Macaca fascicularis: one gene and its partners. The protein of the gene in region 1 purifies or fractionates together with the protein of each later gene. This does not show direct contact. Links are inferred from orthologs where the notes say so. Each region holds a gene or a part of one and is shown in the gene's direction. Other genes may lie near its edges. The genes, in order: IGF2BP3, FUS, YBX1, DDX5, G3BP2, HNRNPU and HNRNPA2B1.

Region 1 (4,763 bases):
TTTTAAATGAAAAATACACATTTTAAAATGCTAACAACGGTTTTGACAGAGAAGCTTTTAACAATTACCGAAGATGTTTCCAGCGTAAATCACAATATTTCCTCTATTCAGGATACCTTTTTTCTACCAGTAAGAGTACCAAGTCATTAAAGATTCTTGTCTATATTTTCATGTTATATAGAATTTATTTCACTTAAAAAATTAGCATTTTATATCTTTTCCATAGAATACCTGTTAAAAATATACCTGTTAAAAACACAACTATCTAGTGCAAATGAAAGCTTTGAGTGGAGTACACAATCATTAAACGACACTTGGAGATTTCCACTAGAACCCCAGCACTGCCTTCGTTTCCGTATTGCTCGTCTCCAGTTCACATTGTGTTGGCCCACAAAGGCTCCACCGGGCCCAAATCCTCCCCCGACAACCACCATTGTGCTCATTACATATAGAGAAAATTATGTATGGCTCTCATGACCAAATGTAGGCAGAAAAGAGGCAGAAAGAGGCTCGAACAGTTTTTCAAATACGAATCCCACCTAGGGGTAACGCAGGACGGTCTTCCAATTTTAAGTCTCAAGTTCTCCAACTAAAATTAATTAAATAAAAGTACCAGCCTGCTCCACTCCTCCCCCTTTAAAAACTACAGGAAGAGAGGATTTCCCTTTAAGTACCGACTTCTCCCACTTTGACTTCTCTCCTCCAGCGGCCCAGGTCCCCGACGACCCCAGCCCCTAGCTAGAAACCTCCGCCCCTGCACTCCCCTCCCCCACCAGTGGCCAAGCCCGCCCCCGGCCTCATTTATCCTGGAGCCTTTTCTGAATCGCGCAACCAATGGCAAACGCGAAGCCGAGAGCCACCGCGAGCGCAGGCGGAGGCGGAGGAGGTGTCGCCCAGACACCCGCCCAGGACGCTGCGGGCTCCCATCCCCCACCGCCCCGGGCCCGGGCCGCCCCCACTCGCGGGGTGCCCGGGGCCCGAGAAGGGCGCACAGGGTGGGGTGCGTCGCCCGCCTGTCTTGCCACTACCCCTTGCCCCCTTCACCCAGTCCCCCACCCCTCCTCGCATCGTTTCCGTCCCTGCCAGCCTTAGAAACGTGCCTGCGGCTTTGCTGGGGTTACACTTCTAATGCCATTAAAGCCACCAGGCGAGTTCGAGATTGTGACTCTGGTTTTGTTGTTAATAACCTATTTTGAAAAATCGAATGATTAAAACTACGGTAACTAAAGCTGAGGAATTGCCTGTTAGTACCTCTACCCATTTCCTCATTAAAAAAAAAAAAAAAAAATCAATATTCCAGCCCTCCCTCCCAGGATCCGCCCAGACCAGATAACCCTTTCCAAACTCGAGTTGTGACCGTCAGCGCCCCGCGCCGCGCTCCCCTCGGTGCCGGCTGCGGTTCCTTTAGCATTTTCCCTCTTCCTCCTCCGCCTTCTCAGGGTCCCTCTCCCAATCTCGTTTCCCCTCCCCCTCTTCCTCTCGCTCGCTTTTTTTTTTTTCTCTGAAACCCACTCTAATTGAGGCTCTGGGATTCCTCACGTGAGACGTTGATTTGTAGTTTGAACACGTGGCTCATTCAAAAAGCCGGACACTCGGAGCGGATTTTTTCCGCCTCCTGCGCCTTCATCCCTCCTCCTCCTCCTCTCCCCTCCCTCCTGCCAGTCACCCTTCTGGGTTTTTTATGGGGAGGCGGCGCCTGCCTCACGTAGTGTGATATTTTCACAGTCCGCTGGCCGAAGCCAAAGGGGTTGGGGAGGAAGAGACAAAAAGTAGTTTTTTCCCCTCCTCCTCCTCCTTTCTCTTGCTAATCCCGCCTCCTTCTCAGACTTAGGAAGACTGGTGGATGCGTTTGGGTTGTAGCTAGGCTTTTTCTTTTCTTTCTCTTTTAAAACATATCTAGACAAGGAAAAACAAGCCTCGGATCTGATTTTTCGCTCCTCATTCTTGTGCTTGGTTCTTACTGTGTTTGTGTATTTTAAAGGCGAGAAGACGAGGGGAACAAAACCAGCTGGATCCATCCATCACCGTGGGTGGTTTTAATTTTTCGTTTTTCTCGTTAATTTTTTTTTTAAACAACCACTCTTCACAATGAACAAACTGTATATCGGAAACCTCAGCGACAACGCCGCCCCCTCGGACCTAGAAAGTATCTTCAAGGACGCCAAGATCCCGGTGTCGGGACCCTTCCTGGTGAAGACTGGCTACGCGTTCGTGGACTGCCCGGACGAGAGCTGGGCCCTCAAGGCCATCGAGGCGCTTTCAGGTGGGCCCGGGCCTGGCCCCACCCGGGCTCTCGCCCCAGCCCTGCACCGCCCGCCCAGACCCACCGGGGTGGTTCCGCGGGCCCCAGGCCCGGCGCGCTGGGGGAGCGGGGGTGAGGCCTCAGCGCCCACACCCACGCGCGTGGGGGCCGGGGCTCTCCTCAGCTTCGGCTCCCACTCCAGCCCGCGGCTCTGCTTCCCCGGCCGGGGTTTGTTGGGTGAGGGCGGACGCGCTGTCAAGAAAGCCCCGGCGCTGGCTAAGGGGGGCGCGGGGCTGGGGGAGGCGCGCTCCCCCGGCGCCCCGCCCGGGCCCAGGCGCGTGCTCCAGGCCCCGGCACGCTGGGCCTCGGGGGCCGAGCTAGAATGCCCGCCTGTGTCTCATTCCTTCCTGCTTTCCTCGGTCGTTATTTACGGCGCTGTCTGTTCTGCGCCCCGAAACCCCGGCCGTGGAGAACGGAAAGTGGCCTCGACCTTGCTGCCGAGTGAGACCGCGGGGCTGGTGCCTCGCACAGGCGGCCCCGCGCTTCCTCCCCACCCTGCGGGAGGAGAGAGTGTGCCCGGTTTCCCCGTTCCACCTCCCCCGGTCCGACGAGCGATAGGGGCAGGTGGGCGGGGGCGGCTGGTCGCCTGGAAGGGAGTCGCCGCCACGCACCGGGCCGCCCGCCGCTCTCCGGGCCCTGGCGCGGGGCTGCGGCCTCCGGGTATGGCTCCGCCAGGGCGAGGGACGGTGCCGGGCGGGGCGGGACGCCCGGGGGAAGGCTGTGCTGGGGTCCCCATGGGAGCCCCGTGCTTTTCGGCTTCCCTTTTAATCAACTCAGACGTGGTGCGGGCGCCTCGCAGTCCTTCGCTCTTGGTTCAGCCTGAGCCGAGCTGCGCCTCTGCCAGTTCTCCCGTTCTGGGTCTCCCCTGCCGTCCCCGACCCTTTCCCGCCACTCCCTGTCCTCCCCAAGCCCACTCCTAAGTGTTCCCGGCGGGTTGGGCTGAAGCAGAGGGCAGAGCCAGGGCGCCCCCTCCAGAAGAAAGCCAGGGGAGCCCCCTGCCCCGAGTCTGTCCTGTGGAGCGTGTCCAGGGCGGTGAGAGGATGGGCCGTGTCCCTCTTGGGGGCTTCGTGTTGGTGGCCCCCAGGGGTGGGTGGGGGAGGCTTTGGGGACTGGACTGATACCCAAGTAGTGGGCCCGTCAGCGGACCCTGCTCCTCAACCATCTGCGAGTTAAATGCCCACGCCGCCCGAGGGGGTCGGCTTCTCCCTCCGTCTGGAGCCGCGTCCGGGTCTCGGGGACCCTTCGGGGGCCTCAGGAGGCCATTTGTGTCGCCAGTTGGGCTGTGCGGGTCTTTCGGGCAGGGAGAGCCGCTGAACTCGGCCGACCGTCTCTCACTTCTTGTGTGTCCGCAGGTAAAATAGAACTGCACGGGAAACCCATAGAAGTTGAGCACTCGGTCCCAAAAAGGCAAAGGTGAGCTGCTGCTTCTGTTTCCCCCGATTCTGTTCTCACTCCGTTATTGGGTGGAGAGACTCAGCTGAGAACTTGTCCTTTGGTGCTTACCCGGCTGCGGTGTGGCGTGGTGTTCTGGTCTTTTCCCCTTGCTTTTAAGTTTATGGCGGGGGTGTGTGTGTGTGTGTTGATGATGCTGGGTAGGAATTGAAAGCTTGTCTGTGGCCTCTGCCGCGGGATTATGGTTATTGGTTACAAAATCTCTCGGAAGCTCACAGCTGAATGTCCTCGGTCACAGCGGGTCAAATTGCTCCTACGGGAAATGGGTCGCAACAAGCAGTTTCGGGGGGTACTCTGCAGGACTTGGGAAGCAGCGGATGATTCCCCTACCCCTCCAGGAGCAAGAAAGGCGAAACCAGCTGCGGACACGCGGGGGGCGCGCCTTTCTGTCCGGATTTGGGAGGCCGTGGGCGCGGCCGACTGGAGAGGAATTTGCCTCTGCCCTGTGAGCTCGCCAGGGGTATTGGAACGCGTGCGTAAACGCCGGGGCCTCTCCGGCCCAGAAGTGCCTTTGAGTCATTCCAAAGTTCTACAGGTTCTTGCAGTCAGCACCTTTGTCTCCCCGCTTTCCACCCTACTCCTCCTGGGTACATTTTTGCTTACAACCACCAAATGATGAAGACAGGAAGATTTTGTGCCACTTAAGGAGGGGGATTTCTCGTCTCCGAGATCATGTGTGTAGTATGTCCCTTTACAGAATGTTTGCAGGTTGTTTTAGCCTCTGAAGCATTTTGGAGACATGGCTCTTTCCCTTTTTCTTTTTCTTATGAAGCCTTTTGCAGCGACTCCTTTCCTTTCGCTAGAGCCGGCCAGATTCCGGCTCTATTTTTTTGTTTTGTTTTATTTTTTAAAACCTTCAGCCAACTCACACCATAGGTTCCGGCTCTAACTCCAGTTGGAAAGGCACTGCTGCCTCCCAGTCGCACCGGGGTGGGCCTCTAAGCCTTTCTGGGTTTTGCAAGATGGGGTTAGGGTTTCTGCCTGCCCCTCTCCCATCCCCCCAACTCCC
Region 2 (4,058 bases), on another chromosome or scaffold:
TTTCTTTTTTTTCTTTTTCTTTGGGAGACGGAGTCTCATCCTGTTGCCCAGGCTGGAGTGCAATGGTGCTATCTCAGCTCACTGCAACATCCGCCTCCCGGGTTCAAACAATTCCCCTGCCTCAGCCTCCTGAGTAGCTGCGATTACAGGCACCTGCTACCACGCCCTACTGATTTTTGTATTTTTAGTAGAGATGGGGTTTCACCATGTTCGATAGGCTGGTCTAGAACTCCTGACCTTGTGATCCACCTGCGTCAGTCTCCCAAAGTGCTGGGATTACAGTTGTGAGCCATCACGCCCTGAATGTCCCTTTTCTTAAACCTGAGCAGGACTGAAGTGTTGAAACTCTTCCATATTTCTTTTCCCTAAATGAGTGTATAATTCTTAAAACTCTTTGGGATCTGAGTCCTTTACAGGGCATTGTGGCACACCTGTAGTCCCAGCTACTGAGGAGTCTGAGGCAGGAGGATTCCTTGAGTTCAGGAGTTTGGGGCTGCAGTGAGCTATGATAGTGACTGAACAGCGACTGCATTCCAGCCTGGGCAGTGTATTGCGGCCCCATCTCAAAAAACAAAAATGTTTTTTGGTTTGTGATTCTGTTTACATTTGTTTTCTTTGGCTTTTAATTTTTATGACTCTCATTTCCCATCTCAGCATGAAAGAGCATATTTTCTAACGGGAGAACCAGTTTTAGGCCAATTCTTAAATGGAGAAAATGGTTATGCTTGAAACAAATGTATGAAATCATGTGATACATAAGGAGGTGGGATTGCCCCAAGGTCCTGAAGTGTAACTAAGAAAGGTGGTTGTCCTGTACGTAACTGCATGCACAGCTGCATATCACAGTGCTGTTAACAGGAATCCTTGGGCTTGGGATTAGAGGGTGTTGGGGTTGGCGGGGTTAAATTGGAACTGTCTTAGAGAGGATAGAAGTTGGAGCATTAACTTTGGGCTTTGAAAGGAGGGTAACTATGAGTTGCAAGATTATGAACAGCTTCTGAAAGGCTGACTTTTTGAGTATAGGTATTAGGTTGTATATGTTTTAACACATTTCTTACATTTTCTTTTTCCTGGTGGCTTTTGTGACTTCTTTTTTCTTGTAGCAGGCTATGGAACTCAGTCAGCTCCCCAGGGATATGGCTCGACTGGCGGCTATGGCAGTAGCCAGAGCTCCCAATCTTCTTATGGGCAGCAGTCCTCCTACCCTGGCTATGGCCAGCAGCCAACTCCCAGCAGCACCTCGGGAAGGTACGGTGGTGTCGATGTCGGGGAAGGCTTGAAAAGAGGGGTGAATTGATGAGGAATGATAAAGGGACCAGCAGCAGTAGGAGCAGTTTAGAGGTATAATTGGGGTAGGGGAGCCTGTGTTGAGTACAGAGAATGGAATCCACTAAAAGGAAATTGGGGGGCTATGCTGGGATTGTGATTGTGTTTTTTGTTTGTTTTCCTTAGTTACGGTAGCAGTTCTCAGACCAGCAGCTATGGGCAGCCCCCGAGTGGGGGCTACGGCCAGCAGCCTAGCTATGGTGGACAGCAGCAAAGCTATGGACAGCAGCAAAGCTATAATCCCCCTCAGGGCTATGGACAGCAGAACCAGTACAACAGCAGCAGCAGTGGTAGTGGAGGTGGAGGTGAGATGTCCTCAGCTTTGTCTGCAGCCCATTTTCTATAAGGATTTGTATTCTGTTTTAGCCTAAAAGGGTTCCTGTTTTATTTCCTAGCTGTCTTTTTAATTTCTTTTGTACTTCATTGCCTGGCACTTGTCATACCTTTTTGTGCTACTTTACAATTTTTTTTTTAAACCATCCTTTTTTTTCTCACAGGTAGCTATGGCCAAGATCAATCCTCCATGAGTGGTGGTAGTGGTGGCGGCGGCGGCGGTGGCGGCGGCGGCAGTGGTGGTGGTGGTGGTGGTTATGGCAATCAAGACCAGAGTGGTGGAGGCGGCGGTGGCTACGGACAGCAGGACCGTGGAGGCCGTGGCAGGGGCGGCAGCAGTGGTGGCGGCGGCGGTGGTGGTGGTTACAACCGCAGCAGTGGTGGCTATGAACCCAGAGGTCGTGGAGGTGGCCGTGGAGGCAGAGGTGGCATGGGGTAGGTGTCTCATGAGCCAGGGAGTATCTTTGGTGGGGAGTGTGGAGGATTGCATGAATCTCCCTGAAGCCAGTCCCTAATGCATGGTTTAGTATTCTTGTTGTCTGGGGGATTTGTGAGGGCTTTGATTTGGGGGCAGTGATTTTCTTTTTACATCCCCATTTTATTTTTGTGAGAATTTGGGAGCCTGAACTCCCATCCATACCACCGAATAGAGATTTTGAGTATTGATACTTGTTTCCAAAAAAAAGAAATCATACATAGATTTCCAATACGTATGGATTGGAGTCATTGATATCCTAGGCAAGAAACATGGAAGTGAAGACTTCTTTCTCTGCAAGGGAAACCGATGAACCCACTCCTGGGAAATAGTAGGGAAACTTGGTATGTGTGTTCCCGTGTGTCCTCTAGGGAGTTGGTAATGGTTAACCTGACTTCAGCTTCCAGGAATTGGTTACTCTTCCCGTTTTCTGTAGTCATTTGAATCCACGAGCTTGATTTGCACCAATTTGACCGACATTGATTTTGGGTGTGACTTGGTTTATGGGACCAACTGACTGAAGTGTGCAGACCTTTTGGGCAAAAATATGCTTGACAGTGGTCTCCCACCTAGTTGTTCCACTGTCTGCCTTACCCTGGTTACTTAAAATTCATCAGCTTGTCCAACTGGACCTTCTTTCCTTCCTGCTGAAGTTGATTTGAAGTAAAACCTTAGATTTGATGTTAAAACAGTTGTCAAATCTGTCGGTAAATACGATTTGAAGGACCCCACTCTGTCTCCCTTGAAAAAGGGCAGGAATGTCAGTGTAACTGTTTTTGGAAAAAGTAGATTTTTAAACTGAGTTTGGATATGGTAAGTATGCAGAGGTGGGTGGGGGCAATCTCAAAAACGTACAAAAATGAGGAAAACTCTGTTGTGTGCGTGTGTTTAATGCAAAACTTTAAAAAGAAAAACAACTGTTATGTGACTGTTAACTTGCTCTGCATTTTATGTGCCACAGGTATGAAAGGTGACATTGCAAAATACTCCGCTCTTCTCGCAGTGTAGAAGGGGTGACCCCGGGGGTTGGGGGAGATTAAAAACAGCTCAGTAGTTAGGACAGAGCTTAGCTAAGTTTGTCTTGCTTTAAGGGGAAGTTGCCTTTGGTTTTGACTTTTTATGGAATGGGGTTGGGTCTGCTTGCTGCTTTCAAAGCAAAAACCACAAAAGTGTGTTCAAGGCTACCCCAGCCTGGTGTGAAATGTCTTCTGGGTAAATTGGGGTAGGGTTTTTAAACCAACTACTTGGTTGTCAACCACTTGCGACAAGAGGAAAAAAAAACATCTGCTCCATCGGAAGAACGACCAAGGAAAATGGGTCATTTTTTTCCAGAGGAAATAGATACATAACCTTTTAAAGCAAAATCTTTATAAACTGTGTCTGAGAAATTGCACACGTGTGTGTGACATGCTCAAAGGTCAGACAAGGGGTGGTCAGGAAGGGATGTATTTTAGTAGCCACTTGTATCTTTTTCCAAAAACACCTACCCGTGTTTGGGAAATGTTAAACAAAATCAAAAAACACCCTTTTGTAGCCGTTGGAAGCTTCATGTCCTTTCTTCTAACTTGTCTTCTCCAGCGGAAGTGACCGTGGTGGCTTCAATAAATTTGGTGGTAAGTGAACAGAGTTTCCAAAATTCCCAACTCCCAGCAATGCTTTGTCTGATTGTTCATTTGCAGATGTCTTAGCGTGTTAATTTAAATGTCAAAGGTTTTGAAGTGTCCAGAACCACCTCCATAAAGGGGTAGGGTAGAATGCCACCTGTTGCCTGGTGTGTGCTAACCTGGAGCAGGCAGGGGTAAGATTCAGTAGTCGTCTTTTACCAAATGGGTTTGCCCCAGGTTAATAAGAGGGGTTTAGTAGGCCTTGGACAGGGCTGTTGCCACACCTGGCACTTAGTGACCATCATCATGAGAAACTGGAG
Region 3 (4,571 bases), on another chromosome or scaffold:
GGAACTGACAGGCCTAGACGGCATTGGTAGGGGTAAGGGATACTGCACTAGCCTCCTAACTGCTTTCTCTACTTCCATTCCTTGCCCCTCTGCAACCCATTCTCCACTCCGCAGCCATTTTTAAAAAGATGCCCCTCCCTACTTACGACTCTAAAATTGCTTTTCTCACTCTTCCCCTCAGGATATATTTCCAATTCAATACACCTAAGTGACTCTGCCCACCTCTGCAACCCAATGTCACATTCGAGTCTTATTGAACTACTTGACTGCATTTCCCGAGATCCCACCCCTTCTCGCCTGTACCCTGTGCGCAGAAAGTCAGCCCTCCACCTTCTCCCTGCTTCTACTCCCAAAATACTTCGTGCTTCTGCAGCTCTGGAGTATTTACCGTGTTGGCTGTTTAAATTTCTGCCTCCATCAGAAGGCAGAAACTGACTCGCGAACTATTCCATCCCCAGCCGATAGTAGACGCTTAAAAAAGAACGAAAGAAGGTGGGTGGAGGACTTCAGTAACATCAGGTGGCAGCCTCAATTTTATCGTTTGTGAAACGTGGATAGTAATTCCTCTATCACATGGCTGTTGTACGAATTAAATGAAAAAAAACATAGGACGCTAGCTTGTTCAATAAATGTGAGTTGAATTAAATCTGATTTGTGGCCAGTAGAAAAACACGTTAACACTTGAAAAGGAAGACACATTTTTAAAAATATATGCCTGGTAAAACGGATCAGAAGGCAGGTCCCCACGGAGCACACCCTCGCCCTAAACATGCTGAGCCCGGGCTGCCAGAGCCTGCGTGGTCCCTCCAAGGTGACTGCTCCGACAAAAGCGTACGCTCTTCAAACGCATACGTTTAAGGCAATTCCAGAAACCCTCGGCTGTGCCGCGAGTACACGGCCATTAAAGAAAAGACGACTCTATGCCCGCCGTAATGTTCTCAGATCACAGGGACCGTATTTGGTGCAGGGAGGGAGGGAAGCCTTTTCTTCACGGGGAGCTAAGGCGTCGTCGAGCCCCCTTCCAATCCCGGGTCCGGCCGGGTAATCCCTGCCCAGCGTTCGGGCGTGCCTTTTTTTCAGCCGAGACACAACCCTGAACGTCGGGCCCGCCAGCCCGGCGACTGCCTCGTGGAAGTCACGTTCCCTCTGCCCGTCCTCTCAGGTACTCTATGGTTTTCGTGGCCGACTACTCTAATTCTAGTTCCGGTCTCTATGGCGGCCGGCGGAGGCAGGAACGGTTGTAGGTCGGCTGAATTAGCCGCCAGACAGCCAATGAGAGTGGAGGACTGATAAAATGTTAGTCAATAGAAGCCAGGGACTGAGGTCAGGTGGGCAGATTGACAGTACCACCGGCCAGTGAACAACGCCTAGGGCGGGTCGATCGTAGGGCTTATCCCGCCTGTCCCGCCATTCTCGCTAGTTCGATCGGTAGCGGGAGCGGAGAGCGGACCCCAGAGAGCCCTGAGCAGCCCCACCGCCGCCGCCGGCCTAGTTACCATCACACCCCGGGAGGAGCCGCAGCTGCCGCAGCCGGCCCCAGTCACCATCACCGCAACCATGAGCAGCGAGGCCGAGACCCAGCAGCCGCCCGCCGCCCCCCCCGCCGCCCCCGCCCTCAGCGCCGCCGACACCAAGCCCGGCACTACGGGCAGCGGCGCAGGGAGCGGTGGCCCGGGCGGCCTCACATCGGCGGCGCCTGCCGGCGGGGACAAGAAGGTCATCGGTGAGGACCGGACAGGGACGGGGGTGGGGCCTTCGGGCAGCCTGGCAGCGGAACCGTTAGCCGGGGCTGGGCGAGCCGGCGGGCGCGCGGCCGGTGGGGACCGACTCCGCGGCGCGCGGCCGCCCCTCCCCCCGCCCCCCCACTCGCTCTTGCGGGGGCCCGCCCGGCAGGCGCGCGCACACTGCCTCCCGCGCCCCCTGTGGACCCCGCGCGGCCGCGCGCCCCTCCTCCTGCGGCCGCGCGCCGCCGACCGCGTGTGCGACGGGGTCCCCTCCCCGCCGACTGGCCTCGTGCGCTCGGGCCCGCACGCCGTTGTTCGCGTCTCCCCCACCCAGCTCCCTTCCGCGTGTGCTCGGAGGGCGCGGCGCACCGCCTACGCAGTCCGGAGCTGCTTCCCCTTCCCTCACGTGCTCTCCGTCCGCGGCCTGCGAACACACCCATCCTGGGCCCGCGCCCCGGGCCTGCCCGGGAGCGCCCCGCGCTTCAGACTCACCCACGTGTGCGGCGGCGGCGGCGTGGCCCCGGCGCGGACCCGCACCCAGGCGGTGGAGAGAAAGGGCTGTCAGGTGGCCGCGGCGGGCAGCGTGCGAGGGACCGGATGCCGAAGCGAGACGGGTTTGGAAAAGGATAGCTGGTAATCGTGGCTTGTTTTGCTTTGTTTTCTTTTCCAGCAACGAAGGTTTTGGGAACAGTAAAATGGTTCAATGTAAGGAACGGATATGGTTTCATCAACAGGTGAGCTGCTGGGCTCTGAAGCCTCCATCCTACCTTCTTGCTTGCTTCTTGCTGTGCCAATCCACAGTCCTCTTCTGAAAGGCGTTTACTACCTCTGGTGTATTAATGTGATTTTTTGTCTGTTTGTTTTCCTTGACGACTGGAGGGATTTGGGTTTAGAGAATGCCTTTGTTTTGCAGCTAAATATTAATTTGAAGCTAACTTCAAGGGCTTCGTCACAGCACAAAGCAATTTAAAAGGCAAGCGGAGTGAATGAGCCATTCCTTAACAGGGTAAACGGGAAAGTACGGTCCAGTAGATTTTTATTCTTGTCATCCTTTTCTACTTTATTGAACTCGGTATTTGAGAATGTGATCCACTGACATCGGATATTTACGCCTTGTTAACATTTTGGGGGTAAGAGGATTTGACGTGTCAAGTATATGAGGTTTTGTCATCTTTACCGAGAGGTTGTATTGCCTTTGTTTCACGTTTCATTTTAATACCTGAGATAAATTCTGTATTAGCACAGCTTTGACCAGAGAGAACTGTTTTTATTTGTTCATAAATAATATATCTGCAAGAAAATGGTTTTTTTCCTTCAGTTCTTATTTCATTCTTCCTTGTCCTAAAATCATGCTGATGAAGTCAATTTCCGCTAGATCCCTGGCTGTAGCTTATTAGAGTGGCCATAGTCACTAGTAACTTGACATTGTTCTTCCTGTTTGAAGGTAAAGCTGCAGATACGTCTTTAGGACTTACCCTTCGGGTTGTTTGTGGCAGTGGTGGTGGTAACGTGCAGTAGACGCACAGTATTCCATGGGCTTCCTTGTGAGCCGGGCATCATTTTCAAGATGGCTGCCAAGGCTAGTAGTGCAGTTACATGGGTGTAGAGCACTGGGTATGCCAGTAGCAATCTTGGCCTCACAGGTATGGTACTTAAGTGCCATCTCAGCATTCTCTTGCTTACTTACTGTAGAAGACCTAAGCAGATGATTAAAAGAACAACGTGGAATGGACAACAAATGGGCAAAATCAAGCTTAAGGACAGATTCATGGCCTGATGAAAAACTGTTCATTAATCAATCATAGAGTATTGTGGAAATACTTAAAGTAAGAGATAAGCATTTGATGATCTATTCTCTACTTTTGCAATTGTGGGAAAACATTTTGTTTCTTCCAGAATCTTAGGATTTTCCAACTTGTTCTATACTGTTTGCCTTCCTGGCTGGCTGAAACTACGGTTTTCATTAATTTTTTGATAAAAGCTTACTAGCAAAGAAGAAAGGGAATGCTTATATATGATTGGTAAACTGATAGCTTTTTAACTGATCTGTCTGAATTTGTTAGTGTTTTAGTTTGTATTTGTGTCTTACTGACTGTCCTTACTAGTCTAACTCTTAAACCAGTGGTTTTCAAATTTAAGTGTGCTTACGTTGGAAGGGTGTGATTTAAGTGGTGTATTTCTTCTGAGCTTTGGATTCATTAGGTCTGGGTACATTTTTAACAGGAATGATAATGGTCTTCGGGCCATACCTTCAAAATCACTGCTTTTAACCCTTGACCCAATGTAATGGTAACTCTGGTGTGCAAATATGCATCCTTTTCAGCAGATAGATCGCAGTTTTTGTATGTGTTTAAGAAGTTTTAGCATGTGCCTTGTTTCGCTGCATTTTTTTTTTAAGTGGGCATAGGTTATGACATTTTTTGAAATCAATAGTTTTGTCCAAAATAAGAGTATTATCTTTACACTTTATAAGTATTTAGTCCATGAGATACTATTCATTGAATATCTCTGTTCTGAATTGGAATCAACTCAGTTGGTCATCCTCCAGGGCAAGTTATGAATTGGCTTTTGATGGTCCTTTGGACTATCCTAACCTCGATTATTTTGTCAGATTAACTGGTTAAAATATTCTTTATGCTTCTGAACTGGTTGTTTTAATTATTCTGGGATTTTTTTAATAAGATGCTGTAAAATCTGACTCCAATTAAATACAGGGAAGATTTGCTTTAATTAAGGAAAATGTATGTGTTAAATCAGTTTGGAAGCTAGCAGTTGGTTCTATATGTAGTTCCTGTAGTAGAACGAATGGACTTGGCTGGAGGCACCTGGCTCTTATGAGGGAGGCAG
Region 4 (2,927 bases), on another chromosome or scaffold:
TGCATTTTTTCTAAGTTTTTTTCACATAAAGGTGCTGTCTTTGTGGCAAGGCCTAGGCATGACAATCGGAGGACTCGAGGGGGATGGAGGACTAGTGATCGGCTGGCTGCTTCCAGTCGATTAGAGAGGTGAAAAAGCTGAACGTGTGCCAGTAATCTTCAAAAGGCAGAACATATCACCTCTGCCCCGTAAACTGTTCTCTCCGAGGGAAAAAATGGAAGTTATCCTCACAGTTCACTGCCGTGGTATTTCTTCTGTCCCATGCTTTGCATGACTGCCATGGTACAGCCTTGTTTCAAACTGTTCACTGTGATCTGTGGGTCTTTGAGTTTCAGTGAGTTTGCTGAAATGTCGAAGAAATATTTCCAAACTTCAATGTTCAATGAAATTTTTGTTCAAGTTTGAAATGGAGAGAGCAGCTTTAAAAGGTACTAAGCCTTTTACAAATTGGTGAGTACTGGCACATGAGATCTAGAGCAGGAGCAACTTCTCACACATAGTCAGTGGGAAAAGAAAGTGCTTTGAAAGTTCCTCCCTCACCTACACAGTAGTCGTCATGTCGAGACCTGCCAGAGAGAGACACATTCTCAAGTGAATCCTGGCTTCTTGGAAGCGCTTGCCTAGACGAGACACAGTGCATAAAAACAACTTTTGGGGGACAGGTATGTTTTCTTGCAGCTGCGGTTGTAAGGTCTTGGCAAGACAAGCAGTGTGGCCAGAAGTTTGAACTTCTGATGAATGTGTAATGCAAAGGACCTTGTACATTTTTTTGTTTCAAGGTCCTCAAAATGAGCACATGAAGAGGTTGCTGTGAAACTTTAAGTGGCCCTACTGCGCAGAAGCATTCAGATGTCACTTGATGATCTGTAAGGGAACTTGCTGATTTGGGAATGTGCTAGGGAATACACATTCCTTTTGACAGGGTCTGTCACTGGGTGGGTGATAACTTATACAGATGACATGTGCTTTTTTTTCTTTTTTCAACCTCAATGGTATTCCTACAGGGAATGGATAACCATTTTAACTGTATTTTTTGCAGCCCGTACCTTCTTGGGAATACAATTGTCTAACTTTTTATTTTTGGTCTGGCTGTTGTGGTGTGCAAAACTCCGTACATTGCTATTTTGCCACACTGCAACACCTTACAGATGTGGAAGATGTGAAATTTGTCATCAATTATGACTACCCTAACTCCTCAGAGGATTATATTCATCGAATTGGAAGAACTGCTCGCAGTACCAAAACAGGCACAGCATACACTTTCTTTACACCTAATAACATAAAGCAAGTGAGCGACCTTATCTCTGTGCTTCGTGAAGCTAATCAAGCAATTAATCCCAAGTTGCTTCAGTTGGTCGAAGACAGAGGTTCAGGTAAGGATGACTGATAGGAAATGTTGGTAGTTGTGAGTCACATCGTTGTCTACAAATCCATTTAAATGGTATTGGAGGGTGAGTAAAACCTTGAACGGAAAACTTATGTTGAAAAACTGTAAAACCATTTCACGCCTGCAATGAATAGATCTAATTCTTTCTGTCCACAATGATTTGTGTCATAGACATAATTGATCAATTTGCAATTTTTTTTTTTTTTTTGACAGGTCGTTCCAGGGGTAGAGGAGGCATGAAGGATGACCGTCGGGACAGATACTCTGCGGGCAAAAGGGGTGGATTTAATACCTTTAGAGACAGGGAAAATTATGACAGAGGTTACTCTAGCCTGCTAAAGAGAGATTTTGGGGCAAAAACTCAGAATGGTGTTTACAGTGCTGCAAATTACACTAATGGGAGCTTTGGAAGTAATTTTGTGTCTGCTGGTATACAGACCAGTTTTAGGACTGGTAATCCAACAGGGACTTACCAGAATGGTTATGATAGCACTCAGCAATACGGAAGTAATGTTCCAAATATGCACAATGGTATGAACCAACAGGCATATGCATATCCTGCTACTGCAGCCGCACCTATGATTGGTTATCCAATGCCAACAGGATATTCTCAATAAGACTTTAGAAGTATATGTAAATGTCTGTTTTTCATAATTGCTCTTTATATTGTGTGTTATCTGACAAGATAGTTATTTAAGAAACATGGGAATTGCAGAAATGACTGCAGTGCAGCAGTAATTATGGTGCACTTTTTCGCTATTTAAGTTGGATATTTCTCTACATTCCTGAAACAATTTTTAGGTTTTTTTTGTACTAGAAAATGCAGGCAGTGTTTTCACAAAAGTAAATGTACAGTGATTTGAAATACAATAAATGAAGGCAATGCATGGCCTTCCAATAAAAAATATTTGAAGACTGAATTAAGTGGAAATTGTACTTTATTTTATATATATAATGTTATGTAAAACTTTGCTTAGATGGTCTGGTTTTTTTTGTTTTGTTTTGTTTTTAATCATGAAAACAAATGACTGCTCCTTTTTATTTAATTTGGGAGGCAGGGGGAATCAGAAGGCCCTTTACAATGAACTATATTGCAGGAGTCAATGAACTGATTTAGGTGAATTTTTAGTTATAGGCTACATTGCATAAAAGCTTTGTCAGCTCCCAACATCAGGGGAGTCATTTAATATAGCCTTTTCCTTATTTGCTAGTATGGTTAAATGAGAGAATAGTGAAATAGATACAAAGTCATCTATGTAATGTGAGAATGTGGATGACTTTGGCAAAATTTATAATTTAAAAAGCTCCAAATAACTGGTTTTTTTTCAAGAGATTTATTCTCATGCTCTTGGCTATACTGTGAATTACTGAAATGTTGAACAAACCTGTGAAAGACATACATTCGCTCTTTAAGATGGCCAGGAGCTAAACTTGAGTCTCCTTAACTGATTGAGTTTGCACAACGTTCTCAGTGCAGGTTACTTGTAGATTCTAGTCTTCACAGGCTCCCTGGGGCTCTTAACTGTAGTCACGCTGGGAG
Region 5 (4,058 bases), on another chromosome or scaffold:
ATGACACCAGAATTCTACTGCCTCTTAGGCTTCTCTTGACAATTCAGTGTTAATCATTAATTATGGTTTTGCAGGTTTTATGGCAGGAATTCTTCCTATGTTCATGGTGGAGTAGATGCTAGTGGAAAGCCCCAGGAAGCTGTTTATGGCCAAAATGTAAGTATCAATTTCATATATAGTTTAGAAATGTTGTGTTAAGACAGAGATTTTTAAAAATAGCCTTCTTATGTCCATGGATTTTTTTTTTCAATATGATTGTTATTGGTAACTGAAATTTATGTTTGACAGTAATTGTCAACATAAATTGTCAGTAGTTGTTCAGTTTAACAATAATTGTGAGACATGCTTTGAGTTCTTAAACATCATTTTTGTGTGAAACGTGGTGTTACACTGCGATGGCTACAAAGAAGAGAACAGTATGTTTTATCTCATTGATGTATTTTATATAGCAGATAGTTAAGACAGTGTATTAAGTTTATACAAATCTGAGCTAAACCCTATGCTATAGGAATGCCCAGAAACATATGTTTCCTATGACCTAACAGGGAAGGAAGACTTTGTGTAGAGGATGTGAGACCATAAGATTTGGCCTTACCAAATAAAGAATTACAAGTAGACAAAAAATAGCATCAGCAAACACACAGTAAAATTATGTGTAAGTTCAAGGAGCAGACAACATATGAGAATGACTAAATACTTATTACAGAAAAGTGGGAGACAGCTGTATAAAGCCAGATTACTGCACAATATCAGAGAGCTATTGTGATTTCTTCTTTAGGAGCATCAGTCTGGCAGTGATGCATAGCATGGTCAGTGGATTCAGTTCAGTCAGGAAGATTAAGTAGTTAATACTGTGGAGTTGTAAGGAAATCAGTGAGGGCAGGTAATAGTATTGTGTAGGTAATGCAGTATTACAAGAGTTTATATTTTTCCCTCCCTCCCTAATAAAGGATATACACCACAAAGTGTTATCTCTGAACTTCAGTGAATGTCATACTAAAATTCGTCATGTGGATGCTCATGCAACCTTGAGTGATGGAGTAGTTGTCCAGGTCATGGGTTTGCTGTCTAACAGTGGACAACCAGAAAGGAAGTTTATGCAAACCTTTGTTCTGGCTCCTGAAGTAAGTTTCTCATTTCATTTAGTTTTCATTTATATGGTTGAATTTGGCTGTTGCTAGTTGGTTTGAAGTGTCCAAGGGTTTCTAATAAATTTAGATTTGCATACTGCTATTTTTGAAGAAGTTGTGTTTGACCTGTTGTTTGAGTGAGTGAGTGTGTGTGTGTGTACATATGCTTTGACTATTTGGAATTATAAGTCAAATACTGATATAAGCTTGTAAATGGATGATTAAGATTACATTAATACAAAAACTATATTGGTATATTTGAAAGGTTACATTTGAAAACAAAATAGAAAAGTTCTGTTGATTTCTTTTCTATTAAATAGCTGTTTCTTGAGTTCTAGGTTGGTGCAAAAGTAATGGCGAGTTTTACTGTTGTATTTTTTTGAGTGACCTTTTTATTTTATATAAACATCATAGCATGTTCAGCATTGGAAAATTATATTAAGTCCAGATTTCCAGTATTAAAATGAGAAATTGTGTATGCCATGTAATTTGCTTTTTTATATAATACCAGATTTCTGGGTATTTATGGAATAAATGTTGTTTCCTATAGGGATCTGTTCCAAATAAATTTTATGTTCACAATGATATGTTTCGTTATGAAGATGAAGTGTTTGGTGATTCTGAGCCTGAACTTGATGAAGGTGAGGTTACTTTGAAGATACGAAGATAGAAGGGTTCTGTTGGTACTCTTTATAGACTATTTTCTATAAGTATGACATTTATGGAAATTTGCTTCTTTATTGTAACTGAGTCAAACATCTTTTTTTGTGGTTTTGTTGTTGTTGTCATTGTTATAAAAAGATGTCCATTGTTTGAGATTATACAAAATTTGGATGTCAAGAAAAAAGGTTTCCCTCAGTCTCATCCTCTGTAGATAACCAAGTTTGGTACCTATTGGAGAAGGTTTTTGGATTCTATTCATAGCAGCATGTATTTTTATAAATGTGGAATTACACTGACTTAAAGCTTCCTTTTTTTTTTAATGTAGTATGTCTTTGTTGGCTGTCTACATTGTGGCTATGCCATAATTATTTAATTGATCTTCCATTGATGTACAGTGGTTAGTTTCTTTATCATTATTGGTCTATTAAATAGATGTGACGAAGGAAGCTAAATTGTGGCTTTAATATAATTTTTTTCCTTTTACGAAAATTTTTTTTTTTTCTAATAGAGTACAACAAATATTAAACTTCATCCTTGCTCTCCAGTTTTTGAGAGAACAGAGGATATTGCAGTTGAATGCCTTTGTTAAAAAAACAAAAAAAATTTTTTGGGGGCTGAGCAAGGTGGCTCACACCCAGAATCCCAGTGTTTTGGAAGGCCAAGGTGGGTGGATCACTTGAGACCAGGAGTTTGGGACCAGCCTGGCCAACACAGTGAAAACCCTATCTCTACTTTAAAAAAAAAAAAAAAAAAAAAAATTTAGCTGGGCGTGATGGCGCATACCTGTAACCCCAGCTACTCAAGAGGCTAAGGCCAGAGAATCGTTTGAACCCGGAAGGCGGAGGTTGCAGTGAGCCAAGATCACACCACTGCACTCCAGCCTGGGCAACAGAGCAAGACTCCATCTCAAAAAAAGAAAGAAAGAAAGAAAATTGTCAAATTTTCTTTTTTACTATCATACCACTTCCTTAAACATGTGAAAAATATGTTCATTAGAAATTGTGAAGCCTCTTTAAAAAAGATGTGCTGTTTTATGTATTGTCAGAATCAGAAGATGAAGTAGAAGAGGAGCAAGAAGAAAGACAACCATCTCCTGAACCTGTACAAGAAAATGCTAACAGTGGTTACTATGAAGCTCACCCTGTGACGTAAGAATAGTATTTGCAAGGTTAAATTTGGTCTGAACTATGTCAGCAAGGTGGTTTTTGTTCCTAGAATTATCGTTGGAAGTAAATTCTCGGTAAAGTCACCTATTAGGTCAGTATTTGAGTACCTATTGTATATATGCAAATTTGGAAAGAATTGTTTTATTTAATCCAAAAATTGAACATGCCTTGCACCAAAATAGTGGTTCCTTACTGATAATGTGGAGTGTTTAAGACAACACAGAGTAAGCATTTTATTTTTATAAAAGATAGGTTTATAGTTAGCATTAAACATTCTTAGTAATTCAGTTTTAAAATGGTGGGGTTAAGGAACTGCTACTTGAGAGTATTATTCCTTCTGTTTTATAGTTCTTTTTGGAATTTTGCTTTGAATACTTTGTAGATCTAGAACAGGTTATTGGCATATAACTAGTTACACCTATTGGATTAGAGAGAAATTGAATTTTGTCTTGAACTCCCACTAAAAAGTGAACTAAATATTTTATTGTAGTAATGGCATAGAGGAGCCTTTGGAAGAATCCTCTCATGAACCTGAACCTGAGACAGAATCTGAAACAAAGACTGAAGAGCTGAAACCACAAGTGGAGGAGAAGAACTTAGAAGAATTAGAGGAGAAATCTACTACTCCTCCTCCGGCAGAACCTGTTTCTCTGCCACAAGAACCACCAAAGGTTAGATCAAAGAACTCTTTAGACTTACAACATCACATGTTCAAATTTGGTGCTGTTAATGAAGTATGACCTTTCTCTATTATGTTAAATTGTTTAGTAAATTACTTTATGTATATGAAAGAAGCTGTGGGGTTTTTTTTTTTGTTATCTGAAAAAATGTTATTGTTTCCCTGCCCCGCAAAATACCCCCTAAGACTGAAATTTATAACTTAAGATGAATCCTTCCTTGTGTGTATGCATTGTTTAGTAGCTTAAATGAAATTATTTGGATCCATGTATAGAGCTGTCAGTTGTTCTTTCATTCTGTATTAAATTCTCTGAGCACAGATGCACCAGGAATCATGCAGTTTCCCAACTTAAACAAGTTGGTCTGTAATTAAAAGAAGAGATACCTGTTGTTTGTGGTTTAAATGGGATCAGTTTCCTTT
Region 6 (4,560 bases), on another chromosome or scaffold:
GTTTGGAAGTTTCTATTTTGGGGGCTCGCCTCACCACTTAACTTGAACTGGGGATTATCAGTAGTACCGTACATAGTCCATTAATTTCAAGTCAAATCATTTCACAAATGTTAATATTTCACGTATACATGGCTGCAAGGTATGACAGAATGCTTCATAAAAGCCATTGAAAATAAACTTCAAAAGTAAAATGCATCAATCAGTTAAATCCCATTAGCCTATGGGAGAAATTTCAATATGTATACCTCCAAATTTCAAATTAATAATGGGGCAATATTATTGTGCCACCTAGAGTACCAAACAGTGGGTATAAACCATCTCCTTAGTCAGATGGAACACTGGCTGGACACTGCAGATTATCTGGGGTTTAAGACGTTAACTTCTATCACGAATCTAAATTCTGACTTCCCTGTCTAAAACTTCGGGAACATCACATCTTTTATTTAAAGCGAAAAAGTAAACTTCTAACATACAAAATAACGGATTTCTTTTCAAGAGCGATAGTCCTTTTTTTTTTTTTTTTTTTTTTAACAAAATCACTGCCCTTGATTTTTCATGAACTTTAAGTTTCAGAATGATTTGGTCAAGAGTATTTCTACAGGAATAGGAAGAGAATCAAGTGGGCCTATAATCAAAGACCTAGCTGGGTCTCACCCTCATGGTTAACTACTGAGACTTCATAGCCGATGACCAGGTCCTAAAGTGGACAGAACAAGCCTTACTGGAGGTCCGTCTTTGTGGTAGGTACAGAAAACTTGGAAATGCAATTCTGTGGTTTATTTAGGGTTATTAAGAGCATGAGAATAGCCCTGCAAAGGCTGGTAAACTAGGGTTTGCAGTATGGAGTAGTAAGCAAAGCCTCTACTTCCCAGGCCCTGCACCCGGGGTGTGGAACAGACAAAAGAACGGCTCTGCCCTTGCCCTTCTCGAACTTAAAATCCAATTCGCAAAGCAGGACTTACACATATTAAATCAAATACAGCATTATGCTGAAAAGAGCCCCTGCGTGTAACAGTTGCCAATGTGTGTTATACCAGTCAAAACGATTTGAAGGAGTTTTAAACGAAAAGCTGGAGAAACATACAAGAAGGCAGATCTAAGATGGAAGAAAAGGCGTATTCGGGTTGAAATGCCAAGTTGAGGACTGAAGAAAGCATTTGGACAAAGCAGCCTCCAGGCTGGGAAGGCGAAAAGCCAAACGAGTATAGCCACCAAAGACCCAGAAAGGCCAATAGATTGTGCAGTGAGTCGGTTTAACTGAAAGGCGGTTTCCTTTTCCTCCATTTGCTCAGTCCCAATTGGAAGCGCACTGCGCGGCCTGCGCCGCGCTCTCCGCCCGGGTTCGGCGTGGGGGCGGGGAGGTAAGTACGGTAATGGGCGGGGCCGAGCGCGGGCGCGCTCCGGCTTTCCTCCTGCGCAGCGCTCCCGTCAGCGCAGGGGGCGGGGCGCCTATATTACGTGCGCGGCGCCGCCCCTGCGAGAGGACGTTGCGTGCTCGCTCGCGCCAGGCGAGTCTCCGCGTCTCCCTCGCGAACTCGGTGAAAGGAATTGGCGCCGTTCGACACCAGGCGGATCCGCTCTGCAGCACGACCCCATCTCCAGCCGCAGCCGCAGCCGCCGCCCGGGCCGAGGAGCAGCCGCAGCAGCCGCCACCAGTGGCCGAGTGAGCGGAGCCGAGTTTGAGGCAGCGCCTAGCGGTGAATCGGGGCCCTCACCATGAGTTCCTCGCCTGTTAATGTAAAAAAGCTGAAGGTGTCGGAGCTGAAAGAGGAGCTCAAGAAGCGACGCCTTTCTGACAAGGGTCTCAAGGCCGAGCTCATGGAGCGACTCCAGGCCGCGCTGGACGACGAGGAGGCCGGGGGCCGCCCCGCCATGGAGCCCGGGAACGGCAGCCTAGACCTGGGCGGGGATTCCGCCGGGCGCTCGGGAGCAGGCCTCGAGCAGGAGGCCGCGGTCGGCGGCGATGAAGAGGAGGAGGAAGAGGAAGAGGAGGAGGAAGGAATCTCCGCCCTGGACGGCGACCAGATGGAGCTAGGAGAGGAGAACGGGGCCGCGGGGGCGGCCGACTCGGGCCCGATGGAGGAGGAGGAGGCCGCCTCGGAAGACGAGAACGGCGACGATCAGGGTTTCCAGGAAGGGGAAGATGAGCTCGGGGACGAAGAGGAAGGCGCGGGCGACGAGAACGGGCACGGGGAGCAGCAGCCTCAACCGCCGGCGACGCAGCAGCAACAGACCCAACAGCAGCGCGGGGCCGCCAAGGAGGCCGCGGGGAAGAGCAGCGGCCCCACCTCGCTGTTCGCGGTGACGGTGGCGCCGCCCGGGGCGAGGCAGGGCCAGCAGCAGGCGGGAGGTAAGAAGAAGGCGGAAGGCGGCGGAGGCGGCGGTCGCCCCGGGGCTCCGGCGGCGGGTGAGTGCTGCGTTGTACGTTGCGCGCGGCGGGAGGCCCGCGCGGGGTGGGGACCGTGCCCCAGGCCTGCCGGAGCCCCGCAGGGGGAGGGAGCCCCGGGCGGGCGGGGGCCGCGGGGAGGGTGGCGGGTGGGGGAGGGGGCGCGGGGAATCCCAGATTAGCCGAGAGGCCTCGGGCTCGGGGCGTGTGTGCGTGTGTTCGTGTGTGTGTGTGTGTGTGTGACGGCGGTGGCAGCGCCTCCATTATGTGGCTCGAGAGCCGGGGGGAGCTGCAGCTGCCGCTGGAGGGGGAGGAGCCGCGGGCGGGCGGCGGGAGGGAGCCCGGTCGGCCCGCGGTGGCGCCGTCGCGCTGCGTGCGCGCGGTGCGGGCACATGTCTCGGGGGGAGGGGAGAGGCCCCAGGTCCCGGGGCGGGCGCGCTTTGGCGGCTCCTCGCCGCTGTATTGTGCAAGGAGCGCAGGGGCTCGGCGTGACGTCACTTCCTGCGGGAGGAGCCGGGCGGGGCGGGGCGGGGGGCGGAAGATCAGTACAATGCGGCCGCGGGGAGCGCGGGCCCGCGGGGGAGGGGAGCGCCGCCGCGCCGGGCTCGGCCCCTCCCCCTCCTGCGCCCTGGTCGCGATACACGTGGGCTTCGGGCCTGGGCCGCGCAGTTTTTCTTTGGGTTTCTCGAATCATCGAGGAGACTGGCAAAATTCGTAACGTCTTTAGACTGCGTCACTAGCGCTAATCCAATTCGTAGCTGATTGTTCTTCGAATTCACATTTGAGTCCTCGGTTAAAACCTCAGTTAAAAAGCAGGATAAAGTCGAGCTGCTTTGCTTCTCGGAACGGAAAAGCGCTTTTTTGTTGTTGTTTAGCGGCCTGGCCTCTTATGGGGGTCTTGTGTGTTTTAGGGGACGGCAAAACAGAACAGAAAGGCGGAGATAAAAAGAGGGGTGTTAAAAGACCACGAGAAGATCATGGCCGTGGATATTTTGAGTACATTGAAGAGAACAAGTATAGCAGGTATAGGATGCTCACCTAGTTTTACTTGTCATCCCTTATTCGTTCGTTGATCGGAAAGCTGTATCAGGAGACAATTCTGTCTTTCAGAGCCAAATCTCCTCAGCCACCTGTTGAAGAAGAAGATGAACACTTCGATGACACAGTGGTTTGTCTTGATACTTGTAAGTGAAGCTGTTTCTCCCCAATTATGAAATGCGGTGATGGTTTTTATTTTTTTTTTTTGCTTCCAAAATGTTAGAAAACTTAATGCTTAAGTGCAGCAAAAGTTGGGTTAGTTTTTTTTAAAAGCAGGAAGAGATAATGGTTTATATTCAGAACCTAGTAGTTTAATATTTAGCACGGCATCAGTTGTATCAAATGGATTATTTTACAGGCTCTAGGAGTTTCATATTTTTATGACTTGAAAGTTCTCGTTCTTAGGAAATGTAAAATTAATGCCAGTTTCTGACTAGCTAACGGAAACTTGTAACACTACCTATAATTTAGCCTTACAGGCTTCTACAATAAAGTAATTCATTTTTTTGTGGAATTATATTAAGTGAGCTATTTGGGCTAGTTAAATATTTACTAATGACTTCTCCCATTAGCACACAAGTATATTCCCTATTCTAAAAGATTGTAATATTATTTTTTCAATAACTGCTCTTTTGTTCTCAATTCCAGTTCAGTAGCTGCTGCTTTAAACATAAGTTGATTTCTTCCAAAGACCTGAGGCAGCAGCAGTGGGCTATCACTGGGCCACTAGCTTTCTTCAGCAGCGAATGGTATCAATGGCAGTGCAGCACTGTAAATACTGCTACTTCACCCAGTTGGGTTGCAATTGAGTATGAGAAAGTATTGCAAACCTCTAAGTGGGCTTTGACTGTCAGACTTGCATTTTTTTTGTTGTTGTTATAAAAAAAAGTAGTTGGTTTAGTGACCAGAATTCACAACTCTGGGTGTGATAAATAGACCAAAGAATAGAAATACCTGTTTGAAAGTATCAGCTGTGGTGTCAGCCTGCTCTTTTAGATGGAGGGCATTGAAGCTTAGCTTCTCATGTTTTCTTGTACAATTTGGTTTTATTCAGATTTGTAAGAGTGTAAATGTAAAACTCTTTCTTACTGGAATGTCCTTTACAGAAGGTTGAGATAGTCATCTGAGCCTTTTTG
Region 7 (4,058 bases), about 2.7 Mb from region 1:
CCAGAAAACTTTAGAAACTGTTCCTTTGGAGAGGAAAAAGGTACTCTGCCAGCAGGTCACCTCATATTTAAGAATTTAATTTCCTGCATACAAAGAGGAAAATGTAAATAAAAATTGAAATGGTATTTTCCTTTGCAGAGAGAAAAGGAACAGTTCCGTAAGCTCTTTATTGGTGGCTTAAGCTTTGAAACCACAGAAGAAAGTTTGAGGAACTATTACGAACAATGGGGAAAGCTTACAGACTGTGTGGTACGTAAGTTACTGAATTGTTACTGTATGTTAGTATCGTAGCTGTTTAAGTGAATCATGGAGGAAGTAACTATATCAGCATAGTAAATTCTATTATAATGACTGTTTACTTATAAGTTATAATGAGATTAAATGCTAAAGTTTCCTCTTTGGTTTGAAAGGTAATGAGGGATCCTGCAAGCAAAAGATCAAGAGGATTTGGTTTTGTAACTTTCTCATCCATGGCTGAGGTTGATGCTGCCATGGCTGCAAGACCTCATTCAATTGATGGGAGAGTAGTTGAGCCAAAACGTGCTGTAGCAAGAGAGGTAAGCAAACCATGACTGTCTTGTGCAATTAACATAAAGAATGCTGCCTTGCTGAACATCGGAAAGTATCTCTGAATTTAGTTTTAACTCAAGATTTTATTAAAGCTCTGTTGGGTTTTTGGACCATTTTCTGAAGCTAACTTATTTGTCAAAAGCTAGGTCCCTAAAAGCTGTTGTTGTAGATCTGGTAGTTTTAAGGTCGATACAAGCCAAGTATGGTACAAAGGTCGGCTACTTTGAATCATGCTTGTGTTTTTTTCTGTCGGGATGACTTTTACCCCACCAATATTTTAGGAATCTGGAAAACCAGGGGCTCATGTAACTGTGAAGAAGCTGTTTGTTGGCGGAATTAAAGAAGATACTGAGGAACATCACCTTAGAGATTACTTTGAGGAATATGGAAAAATTGATACCATTGAGATAATTACTGATAGACAGTCTGGAAAGAAAAGAGGCTTTGGCTTTGTTACTTTTGATGACCATGATCCTGTGGATAAAATCGTATGTAAGTGTCTAACCACAAATGTACTGTTCTTACCATGTATTCAATTTTGTGTATGTTAACATCTAATTTTATTGAAAGGTAAACTTTTAAAGTTGTTTAATGTTGTTGATTTAATTTAAAAGGAGTTTGAATTTTTCATTGCAGTGCAGAAATACCATACCATCAATGGTCATAATGCAGAAGTAAGAAAGGCTTTGTCTAGACAAGAAATGCAAGAAGTTCAGAGTTCTAGGAGTGGAAGAGGAGGTAATTTCAATTCTGTTTCTTCTTTATTTTTATTCATGTAAGGGCTTGCTTCTAACTGGGGCATTTATTGTAGGCAACTTCGGCTTCGGGGATTCGCGTGGTGGCGGTGGAAATTTCGGACCAGGACCAGGAAGTAACTTCAGAGGAGGATCTGGTAAGTTCAAATTCTATGTGTTTAAAGGATGAGTGTGCTTTTATTTTAAATATGATTAGGTTTTCATTAGTAGAATCAGGAAATCAACGTAAATCAAAACCTTTCCCTAAGACTTCAAATAGATAGTATCCTGGCAAGTTCCTGTGACTTGGCCAGACAAGAAGTTTAATAGGGTTGTGTTAATAAGTTATCTGGATTGATAATGTAAAATGAAGTGTCATCAGAAAAGCTTTGGCCCCATGAAGTGTCATTCTTATGTATAAATGAAATGGAATCTCTAAAATTGAGACTTGTTCAGTTAAGAGTTCAAAATTTAGGTGGTAATGAGATTTAATTATATGCTTTCATGTTTTGTGAATAAACTAGTAGCACTAGCGTGTGCTTTTCTGAGGTTCTTAATTATTGTGCTGAGGTATTAAGAGAACTGAAAAAATGAGTATTAGTAATAATGGTGAACAGCTTATAGTAAATGTAATCTTTTTTGCTCCCTAACAGATGGATATGGCAGTGGACGTGGATTTGGGGATGGCTATAATGGGTATGGAGGAGGGCCTGGAGGTCAGTTTCCTCTATATTTTGGTTTGTTTATGTGACTAATACTTAACCATATTGTATATTTAGTTCATTTATATTTTGAGTTTTTAAACATTTTATATTGCCCCTTATAAAGGGCTTAGGTGATAGTGGTCCAGTTATTTCTTTTATAAGTAATTTGACGTCTTAGTAGTTACAGCCTAAGGAATACAGTGCTATTTAAAATGAAAATTTAAAGATAATCACAGTATTCCATCTTAAGCAAAATAATTGGATCTAGATATGTTTTTGTACTGTGCTTTCTGGAAAAGTGCAGAAGACTGGATTTAACTGAGTAAAATCTAAGGGGGGAGAATACGTAGGAGAAAAATGTAAAATATGTCTAAACCCTTAACTAGATGGTAAGCATCCCAGGATAACTTTCAAAAAGTAACCTAAGGAAATTTTCCAAAATGTTCACTGTGCTCCTGGCTACAGATAAGGTTATGAACTACCATTGAACCTGAAATGTGATATAATAAATATATCAGTTTTATTGGCGTACAGAAAAGGCTGGTGCCCAAGACAGATTTTGTGATAAGGAAGGGACATTTAAAACTATGAGCTGGTAATAGACTTGATTTCTGGTGTTGCCACTCATTAGGTGTGACTTAAGTTCTACCATTTAAAATTTTAGAGAAAGCTGAGTTCTTGTATTTAACTACAAGTAATTTGAGACTCAGCCCACAACAGAAGCTTTTTTTTTTTTTTCCCCTTTTTATAAGGTGGCTTTTGTTTTTTTGAGACAGCCTTGCTCTGTTGCCCAGGCTGGAGTGTAGTGGCGTGTGTCTGCTCACTACAACCTCTGCCTTCCCGGTCCAAGTGATTCTCCTGCCTCAGCCTCCTGAGTAGCTGGGATTACCGGTGTGCACCACCACGCCCACCTAATTTTGGTATTTAGTAGAGACAGGGTTTCCCCATGTTGGTCAGGCTGGTCTTAAACTCCTGACCTCGTGATCCGCCCACCTTGGCCTCCCAAAAGTGCTGGGATTACAGGCGTGAGCCACTGTGCCCGGATGTTTTGTTTTGTTTAGGTTTTGCATTATGTGAAAGTGTTTCATTTGTCCCTACTTCTGTTTACAGTAAAGAACATACTGTGTAGAGTGTTGTGCCTATTTTTTTTTCTTTGAGATGGGGTCTGGCTTTGTTGCTCAGACTGGAGTGCAGTGGTGTGATCTTAGCTCACTGCACCCTTAGCCTCAAGCCATCCTCCCACCTTAGCCTCCTGGGTAGCTGGAGCTACAGGGTGCACCACTGTTAACCAGCTAATTTTGTGTTTTTTTGTAGGGGTGTAGGGGTTTTGCTATGTCGCCCTGACTGGTCTTGAATTCCTGGGCTCAAGCAATCCACCCGCCTCAACTTCCCTTACTGCTGGGATTACAGATGTGAGCTCCTGGGCCTGGCCAACAACATTGTTTTGTTTTGTTTCAGAGAGTCTCTCTGTCGCCCAGGCTGGAGTGCAGTGGCGCAATAACAGCTCACTGCAACCTTTGCCTCCCTGGTTCACTCCATTCTCCTGACTCAGCCTCCCGAGTAGTTAGGACTACAGGCGCCTGCCACTACACCCGGCTAATTTTTTGTATTTTTAGTGGAGATGGGTTTCACCGTGTTAGCCAGATGGTCTTCTTATCTCTTGACCTTGTGATCCACCCACCTCAGCCTCCCAAAGTTTACAGGCGGGAGCCCCCGTGCCTGACCGAGAACATTGTTTTAAAAGATGTAATTCGTAGGGAGACATAATAGAAACTTTCTTTTGGGCCAGTAGGGGGAAGTGCTCTTTTACTTTCTCCCTAACCCACACTGCTAGTCTAGCCTCACAACCTTACCCACTATATACATGTAGTATTTCAAGATAACTTAAGATTTTTAGTATTGAGGGAAAGCTGTAGCGTTACAGGTATTTAAGTGGGTACACATGGTGTTATCCATTTGGCTGGGTAGGCACTCTAGCCACCACATGTTTACCAAGGGTAGGTATTCAGTCCTTCAAGCTGTTTTAGAGGAATTTCATTGAATGTTTCAC

Evidence for each region.
Region 2: the proteins of IGF2BP3 (region 1) and FUS purify together in Homo sapiens (affinity purification with mass spectrometry; 3 studies listed by BioGRID and IntAct, with this or other methods). This does not show direct contact. The link is inferred for Macaca fascicularis from reciprocal best matches to the Homo sapiens genes IGF2BP3 and FUS.
Region 3: the proteins of IGF2BP3 (region 1) and YBX1 purify together in Homo sapiens (affinity purification with mass spectrometry; 3 studies listed by BioGRID and IntAct, with this or other methods). This does not show direct contact. The link is inferred for Macaca fascicularis from reciprocal best matches to the Homo sapiens genes IGF2BP3 and YBX1.
Region 4: the proteins of IGF2BP3 (region 1) and DDX5 fractionate together in Homo sapiens (co-fractionation; 3 studies listed by BioGRID, with this or other methods). This does not show direct contact. The link is inferred for Macaca fascicularis from reciprocal best matches to the Homo sapiens genes IGF2BP3 and DDX5.
Region 5: the proteins of IGF2BP3 (region 1) and G3BP2 purify together in Homo sapiens (affinity purification with mass spectrometry; 3 studies listed by BioGRID and IntAct, with this or other methods). This does not show direct contact. The link is inferred for Macaca fascicularis from reciprocal best matches to the Homo sapiens genes IGF2BP3 and G3BP2.
Region 6: the proteins of IGF2BP3 (region 1) and HNRNPU purify together in Homo sapiens (affinity purification with mass spectrometry; 3 studies listed by BioGRID and IntAct, with this or other methods). This does not show direct contact. The link is inferred for Macaca fascicularis from reciprocal best matches to the Homo sapiens genes IGF2BP3 and HNRNPU.
Region 7: the proteins of IGF2BP3 (region 1) and HNRNPA2B1 purify together in Homo sapiens (affinity purification with mass spectrometry; 4 studies listed by BioGRID and IntAct, with this or other methods). This does not show direct contact. The link is inferred for Macaca fascicularis from reciprocal best matches to the Homo sapiens genes IGF2BP3 and HNRNPA2B1.

What each region holds. Positions count from the first base shown.
Region 1 is NC_088377.1:106,804,237-106,808,999, forward strand, and holds the start of IGF2BP3 (insulin-like growth factor 2 mRNA-binding protein 3), read left to right. Parts: upstream 1-1,707; 5' UTR 1,708-2,088; coding exon 2,089-2,263; intron 2,264-3,654; coding exon 3,655-3,715; intron 3,716-4,763. UniProt on the Homo sapiens protein: RNA-binding factor that may recruit target transcripts to cytoplasmic protein-RNA complexes (mRNPs). This transcript 'caging' into mRNPs allows mRNA transport and transient storage.
Region 2 is NC_088394.1:29,371,072-29,375,129, forward strand, and holds part of FUS (RNA-binding protein FUS), read left to right. Parts: intron 1-1,103; coding exon of another isoform or gene 1,104-1,106; coding exon 1,107-1,248; intron 1,249-1,452; coding exon 1,453-1,631; intron 1,632-1,823; coding exon 1,824-2,094; intron 2,095-3,712; coding exon 3,713-3,747; intron 3,748-4,058. UniProt on the Homo sapiens protein: DNA/RNA-binding protein that plays a role in various cellular processes such as transcription regulation, RNA splicing, RNA transport, DNA repair and damage response. Binds to ssRNA containing the consensus sequence 5'-AGGUAA-3'.
Region 3 is NC_088375.1:192,186,383-192,190,953, reverse strand, and holds the start of YBX1 (Y-box-binding protein 1), read left to right. Parts: upstream 1-1,418; 5' UTR 1,419-1,557; coding exon 1,558-2,357; intron 2,358-2,394; coding exon of another isoform or gene 2,395-2,458; intron 2,459-4,571. UniProt on the Homo sapiens protein: DNA- and RNA-binding protein involved in various processes, such as translational repression, RNA stabilization, mRNA splicing, DNA repair and transcription regulation.
Region 4 is NC_088390.1:71,091,202-71,094,128, reverse strand, and holds the end of DDX5 (probable ATP-dependent RNA helicase DDX5), read left to right. Parts: intron 1-1,148; coding exon 1,149-1,373; intron 1,374-1,600; coding exon 1,601-2,004; 3' UTR 2,005-2,307; downstream 2,308-2,927. UniProt on the Homo sapiens protein: Involved in the alternative regulation of pre-mRNA splicing; its RNA helicase activity is necessary for increasing tau exon 10 inclusion and occurs in a RBM4-dependent manner. Binds to the tau pre-mRNA in the stem-loop region downstream of exon 10.
Region 5 is NC_088379.1:58,222,413-58,226,470, forward strand, and holds part of G3BP2 (ras GTPase-activating protein-binding protein 2), read left to right. Parts: intron 1-74; coding exon 75-156; intron 157-950; coding exon 951-1,124; intron 1,125-1,680; coding exon 1,681-1,771; intron 1,772-2,838; coding exon 2,839-2,941; intron 2,942-3,449; coding exon 3,450-3,630; intron 3,631-4,058.
Region 6 is NC_088375.1:4,313,620-4,318,179, forward strand, and holds the start of HNRNPU (heterogeneous nuclear ribonucleoprotein U), read left to right. Parts: upstream 1-1,478; 5' UTR 1,479-1,716; coding exon 1,717-2,407; intron 2,408-3,297; coding exon 3,298-3,409; intron 3,410-3,496; coding exon 3,497-3,570; intron 3,571-4,560. UniProt on the Homo sapiens protein: DNA- and RNA-binding protein involved in several cellular processes such as nuclear chromatin organization, telomere-length regulation, transcription, mRNA alternative splicing and stability, Xist-mediated transcriptional silencing and mitotic cell progression.
Region 7 is NC_088377.1:104,109,352-104,113,409, forward strand, and holds part of HNRNPA2B1 (heterogeneous nuclear ribonucleoproteins A2/B1), read left to right. Parts: intron 1-4; coding exon 5-40; intron 41-138; coding exon 139-249; intron 250-410; coding exon 411-557; intron 558-851; coding exon 852-1,062; intron 1,063-1,206; coding exon 1,207-1,308; intron 1,309-1,381; coding exon 1,382-1,462; intron 1,463-1,957; coding exon 1,958-2,020; intron 2,021-4,058. UniProt on the Homo sapiens protein: Heterogeneous nuclear ribonucleoprotein (hnRNP) that associates with nascent pre-mRNAs, packaging them into hnRNP particles.